2 linked regions of the Saccharomyces cerevisiae S288C genome follow. The protein of the gene in region 1 interacts with the protein of each later gene in a pairwise test. Each region holds a gene or a part of one and is shown on either strand. Other genes may lie near its edges.

Region 1 (3,925 bases):
CGTGTCAATTCTAAACCAGAAACGTAAGTCTGGATAGAATTGAAGACTGATACAATGGAAATGAAAAGTAACCATTTTGGTAAGTAACCTTTTGGCATTGCTGCCAAGGTGGTCTTGGTTGTAGTTATTACGTCTTGTAGGCTGAACATTATCTGATACTTTAGTGTATTTGAATCCTTCGATACTATGGTCTAGCTAGTGTCAAGAATATAAAAACCTGAAATTAGTCAATGCGTTTACGTCAAAAATAGTAGCAATAGTAAAGCAAAACAACAGGCTTGTTCAGCTTAGTTTTATATACGGGGGTAGAGAATACAATGGATCGTACCTTTTTTTTTGTTTCCTGTTCGTTCCGTCCCCGAACGAAAAAATCATAAAATAGAAGTTTCCTATCGGTAATACCGTAAAGTTTAATTCAGTTCGTATAAGATTAGGTTAATCATGGGCAAGTCCGGAAGAAGCGTTTTAATGTAGGTCTGTTGGGGAAGATGTTGTGTTCACTGTAATTTTCAACTGAAGTTGTTGTCCCCGAAATGAAAGAGCTTTCGATATTTTTGTGTTTTATAATGCGCCTCCTACTGCAAAAGAAAAATTAAATGTTTTCTGTCTCATTGAACCATCTTGACAATCGAAAGCGCGCTATCAAATTTCTTTCGGCAGTAATTAATAAGGCCGCCTGTATATATTTCCTTTTCTTCTGAAGCGATATTTCATGAGCCGGAAATTTTTCCAGGAAAGGTTTTAAGTGCTGCCATTCAATGCTTTCAAATGTCTCGAGCAATGATAGAATAACTATCTTGAGTATTTTCAATAGACCCCCTAACTCTTTTTCTGGGACACCGCTTATTACACTGTAAAAGTTCTTTAAGTAGGTTTTCTTCAAACTCAATTCTCTTTCGAGGTATACTCGACAGTACGCCTTTTTCCGGTTGATGCATATTAGTTTATGCTTCGATACAAATCTAATAAGTACATGTATCAGACTTTCGATGATGATAAGTATGTGTTCAATTAATTTCAGAACAGATACGTATTTTAATATCTGCGGTTCAAATGTTTGGTTTGTCTTGATTTTGATGAGTTGAATGTTAATAATAGAGTAAATAAGGGTAAAATGCAACGAACACAAGCGCTTGTAGTCAACTTTATCACATAAATGTTTGCCATCTCCCTGGTCGTAAAAGTTTTGAAGCCATTTTGGATCGTTTTGGTTCTTCTTCAATAAAATTCTATTAAACAGAAACTTGGCGATGAAATTGAAAACATGAACGTCTATCAGTGTCCTCTTAAAAGAAGAATCAGAATCTATGCGATGCGAATAATGAGAAACTAACAAGATTTGGAGTGTTTGAAACACTTGCGATAACCCTCTAAAGTCAATTTCTTTTGTTTTTAAGCTCAGGATTTTTAGCAGAATTTTATATCTCGGTAAAAACCAGTTGTTTATATCAGCAGTTGATACATCTTTGCTAAATGATTGCAGCTCCTTTAAACCAACTGCATCTTCGAAGCTTTTGTACTTATTCTGGCAAAGGAAATTGTATATAGGTTCCAGATGAGCAAACAGTGATTTATTATTCAAAAATCCATTTTCGAAAGGCGCAACCCATTTGTATATATGTTTTGAGTTTTCCCGAGGATTTATTTTTAAATTTTTTTCACTCTTGAGAGCACCTACATCTTCGACATCTCCTTTCTTTCTTGAAAGTGCCCTCTTCCACAACGTAGGATTCCTGGATTGAATTAAAGCAAAACACTGTCATAGATAATATTCGAGGAGATTACACCTCTTACTAAAAGTTAGTAAAGAGAAAATAGGTTAAGGATGTGACAATTTCACGTACGATTATCCAGTCAACTTCCGATGTTTCCTTTTGTTCCATATCTTCCAGTTTGCCTCTACTCATGTCCTTACTCTTCTAAAAGATTATTTAATGAAACTGTTTCACAACTACAAGATGTTTGTTATGTTTTCTTTTACAAGTCGGAAACATTTAGCCGCCCAGCAATATATATGACTCCGAAAGAAAATGAAAGGAAATACATACATAGTAAAATAAATCGTTTAAACATAAATAATCGTACAGAGGAAAACATTAAGGAAGGAGAGTCAAACTAATGTACTGGGAATTTGGATCTCCCATAAGAAGTATGCGCAATACTTTTATTCATCATATAGACTGGAGCTGCGTATCATTTCTTCAATCATTTTCAGAAACCCGTTAACATCACTATCCTTGTTTTGAAGGCTTTGATAACTATTATTACCACCATTAATTGTGCATTCTTGCATGTGCAACCTCGAAATTTTCTTCATTTTTTGAACCAATTTTTCGTAATTTTCAATTTTTTTCTTCATCATTGTGTTTTCTTTGCTTATTTGGTCAAATTCCCTTTGAAGTTGTAATTGTGACATTTTCTTTCTCTGTCGACACTTGGAAGCGGCAATTCTGTTTCGTTCTAGTAGCCTTGCACGCTTCCAAGCTTTAGCACCGTCTTTCAAGCCTGCAGTATTGTTCTCTATTTTTTGGGGTCTAGCTTCCTGCTTTATTTGGAAGGTTGCTGTAGTGTGCATAGAGGAGAAGGGCGCGGTATGTACGTCTTTCTCACTATTAATATTGTTTTTCAGTGCAGAAGTGGCATCCTTGTATTGTGGTTTTGAGTTGGCATGTGTTAAATTGACATCAGGGCATTTCGATTCGTATGGAAGGCTGCTTGAAATATTCAACTCGGCATTTTGGCAGGAATTATTAACAGTGTGGTGATTAACGCCATGGGAAATTGAAGAATGGACGGATTGATTTTCGATATTATGATCATTAATGTTTTGGCAGGAAGAAGAAGAGGAAACGGAAGAATTAGAGGCTGGAGTACATGGATGCACATTCAATTGAGCGTTTTTCCATGCCTTAGTTTGCATTTGAGCTTGTAATCGGAGTTGCATGTTGATGTAAGCCTGATTCATTGTGGAATCGCCAGATGGGATAGAAGGCGTGGCAGAAGGAATGTCACAAGTGGCTGCTACTGCGGGTATGTTAAGCTTTATATTGCTATCATACGGGGTCATTGCAGCGTAGATATTCTTGCTACCTGTTTGAGGTGCAGCTTCGGGTATGACTGTAGCTTGTTCGTGTGGTTGTGGCACGTTTTGCAATTCGTTCGAGCTAAAGCTTGGGTATATGGCTGCGCTTGGATTTGCCACCTGTTGAGGATTGGGATTCTGTTGCGCCTTAGACGATAGGATCGGAGGCTGACAGTTGTAAAGATTTTCAACCGTTTCTAAGTCTTCGCCTAATTGACTAATCTGACCATTGGAGATAGATATGCGTCTTTTGTACACGGGCTGATCAAACGCTGGTAAAGAACTTTGAAAAATGGGAGGGTTGGTAATGGGAAGATGGCTGATGTCGACGCCAAAGGGTTGAAACATTGGACCCAGGTTTTCTTGCACGCTACGGTCATGCAAACTGTTTTGGTGATGAAAATTGTAGGCAGAATCCACAAGACCAGGACCCGATGGTTGTTTGTATATAAGCTCCTTGTTTGAAGATAGAAAATCTGTATATAAGAGTGGGTTCTGCCTTCCATCTAGGAAAGAATCTGGACTTGTAGCAAAATTATGCTTATAGTCCATACTTTATTTGGTTCCTTAGTCGTTACCTGGTGTTATTCCAGTACTATTAATATAACTCAGTACAATTAGCTGCCGTGAAAAAAAAAAAATAATAAGAATACAGTTTCTGCGCTTTTAGTCGGTAAGCACTCAGATTGAGAGATCTAGATTTACTATATTTTAATAATAACCAGTTAAAGCAGATTTTGAAGATGAACTAACATAAAAAAAATTGATGAATTATGTAACATAATCTTCTGTACCACCAGGGTAAATCGCCAAAGAATATCTGCATCTAAGAACAAAAGAAAA
Region 2 (3,226 bases), on another chromosome or scaffold:
TCACCTTTTCGTTTTTCTAGAATTTCGCAAAGTATATAAGAGACCATAAACAGTTGGAGAAAAATATCACAAATTTATCAGCCCAATTTATGGCAGCTTAAAAATGTCTAGGTCGATGCTTTCAACGATATCTTTATCAGGTGATTCTTACGCGCCAGGTGGATAGAGGAAATTTGCGACAGTAGGTTTACTGTCCTGGTTTCCTTGTACACTTGTGATACTCATTTTTTGTCTGCCAATAATATAGTCCTGTTTATTTGTTATATGATGATAACCTTCTCAGCTCACTCAGATCTTTTGATATGATTGATAAAAATTTCCTATCCAACATTCATCAATTTATCTGACCAAACAATAAACTTAGTACTATATAGTCTCGCAGGCAATTCTCTTGAATAATTTCAACTTTTATATCTTACATGAAACTTAAACACGATACATGTATCCAGTTTTCATCTCGATCTGGTTCGCTGTGAAATTTTACTATAACACTGTTTTTGAAGTAGGATTTTTGCCAATAAGACATTTCATAGTTCGTGTACAGGCCGTGATATTCATCTAATTTGTTCAACCACTTGAAGCCCCATAACTTTGTTTTATGGTTAACTATTCTGGAGGAGTCATCGAAAATTTCCTCTTCTATAGCATCCTGAACTTTTAAGCGGTTATATTCATATACTTCACTGAATCCCTTTTTTTCTAGTATATTGATCAAATCAGATAATAGCTCGATTCCGTGAATAACATATTTCAATGATTTGTTCTTTTTTGAAATGGCAATTTTTCGCAGCTTGTTTAACCTGCCCAAGGATTCCAGTACTGTTTCATTCTCATCAACAAGAAAAAATTTCAAAAGATTTAATGCTTCGTGGACCATATAATGTCTCGAATTCTGCGTTTTGACACTTTGTTCCTTTTCTAAGCGATTTACCTCCTCTGTATTTATGACATCATTCATCCATTCCTCATTATCTTGTTGATCATTTTCTGTGGCGTTTTCTGTCTTAATATAATTCCCATCTTTATCGAATACCCCATGTTTTATTTCGTCATCTATATTAAATGGCTCTATATTCACACCTTTTTCTACCTTGCTCTCTGAATTACCGATCTGATAATCTAAGTCGGCTAAGTTTTCTTTCTTGAACTCTGCAATATCCAAAAGCTGAATTTTCGATTTCTTTCGCTTTCTATGGTCTTCGACGTGATCTTCATTTTTTTCATAGGATTTTTCATCCATTTCTTTCCCACTATTTTCATTATCTGTAGAATCTTCAACGCTAGAATCAGAATCAGAATCATATTCTGCCCTGCTTAGCTCTTCATCTTCATATATCGTACTTTGATTATGTAACTCATCGCTAAGCTTTTCGTCGTGTTCACGTCGATCACTATTTCTTTTCAGTTTTGAGCTGTTCGGGTATTGCGTATATTTCATATCCTTCTACAAACAATATGGTGCACTTGAGTGTTTTTATCAAAGTTTTCCCTTGTTCTTTAAAAGGCAGCTTAGCATGGTCATTCCAATTTGTTCGGATGCGCTTCTTTTAATCTAGTCAGAGAAACTTACCCATTAAGTAATTAAAATCGATTATTAGGGCATAAATGGAAGAAAAGGAGACTATGTTGGTAGAATGTAAAGGAAGGGACCCTCATTCACAAACAAGGCAGGGACTTTTATGTTACTACTGAATGTTCATGGTGATGAGTGATAATGTCCTTTAGCTAATAGAGTAAGCCACACTTATTCAAAGGTCAATTTGGAGTAGGCTTACAAATGTAGTCTTTTCTTTCATAAACCAGTAGTGTTAAACTTTATGTTTCTTCAACTTTGACGCACAATATTTGGCGGCTATTTTCCGCTATACCAAATAAAATATATCTTTTGTATAAGAAAACAAACTGCTGAAGAAAAGAACATACAGCAACTTGGACAACATGTCCATCGAGGAGGAAGATACAAATAAGATCACATGTACGCAAGACTTTCTTCACCAATACTTTGTAACTGAAAGGGTTAGCATTCAATTTGGGTTAAATAACAAGACCGTAAAAAGGATAAATAAAGATGAATTTGATAAGGCAGTAAATTGTATCATGTCATGGACAAACTATCCTAAGCCTGGGTTAAAACGAACAGCTTCAACGTACCTCTTAAGCAATTCCTTTAAGAAATCTGCAACAGTATCTCTTCCGTTTATCTTAGGCGACCCAGTATGCATGCCGAAGAGGGTGGAAAGCAATAATAATGATACCTGTCTTCTGTATAGTGACACATTATATGACGATCCTTTAATACAGAGGAATGATCAAGCAGGAGATGAAATAGAGGATGAATTTAGCTTTACATTGCTACGAAGTGAAGTAAATGAAATCAGACCCATATCTTCGTCCAGCACCGCCCAAATACTGCAATCGGACTATTCTGCGCTGATGTATGAGAGACAGGCTTCAAATGGGAGCATATTTCAGTTTAGTAGTCCCTGAGATTTAGTTTGATATCGTTAGCATAAGCTATTTGTCACGTTACTATTTCTCTCCTTCATTTATTCTTCCATGATATATAAATTTTTGTCAAGAGTACAGTTATTATTATATTATATCATTATTATAATTGTTATGATTACTATTAATATTATTAATGTTTATTATCAATGTTTATTATTATTATTGTTATTACACATGAAAAGTGAAATTTCATTACGCATATTGTCTTTTATAGTAGATCGCTGTCAGCATCTTCATTAACTTGTTTGGTGTTATTTTCCAAATTCAATAATCTCTTTTTCAACTCTAACACTTCACTTTTCAAGTCATCTCTTTCTTGATTAGTGATGAAGAGTTCCGCTTTCAGATCATTTATTTTGATGTTGAATTGATTTTCTCTTATGCTGTTGCTATTTTTTACATTATTGGAACTCTCCTCGGTGCTTCTGAGACCATTTTCGAAATTTTCACTGCAGACGCCATTTTTGAACTTCAATTCATCTAACTCGTCGATTAACTTTTTATTCAAACTCTTGTACTTCTCTAGCTCTCTTTGTGAAACCATTAGTGCCTTACTTGCACTGTCCATAGAACTGATACTTTCTTTGTAATCATTCTGTATTTTTTTGATTTCATTCTCTTTTACTAATACATCTTGACTTAATGAGCTGTGTTCCATCTTTAAAGCATGGTATTCAGAAGATAGTTTTTCTTTAGATATTGTTAGCTCTTGACTTCT

What was found.
Region 2: the proteins of MEI4 (region 1) and REC104 interact in binary tests that used the Saccharomyces cerevisiae proteins (3 or more experiments, as listed by UniProt).

The regions. Positions count from the first base shown.
Region 1 is NC_001137.3:237,868-241,792, forward strand, and holds MEI4 (Mei4p), read right to left. Parts: upstream 1,908-3,925; coding exon 1,845-1,907; intron 1,757-1,844; coding exon 593-1,756; downstream 1-592. Other genes in the region: ERG28 (Erg28p), read right to left, coding at 1-149; ACA1 (Aca1p), read right to left, coding at 2,165-3,634. UniProt on the Saccharomyces cerevisiae protein: Required for meiotic induction of recombination, viable spore production and chromosome synapsis. Component of the MER2-MEI4-REC114 complex which seems to be required for meiotic double-strand break (DSB) formation.
Region 2 is NC_001140.6:410,969-414,194, forward strand, and holds REC104 (Rec104p), read left to right. Parts: upstream 1-1,938; coding exon 1,939-2,487; downstream 2,488-3,226. Other genes in the region: U5 snRNP complex subunit LIN1, read right to left, coding at 416-1,438; KEL1 (Kel1p), read right to left, coding at 2,717-3,226. UniProt on the Saccharomyces cerevisiae protein: Potential transcriptional regulator that is required to activate expression of a number of early meiotic genes including HOP1.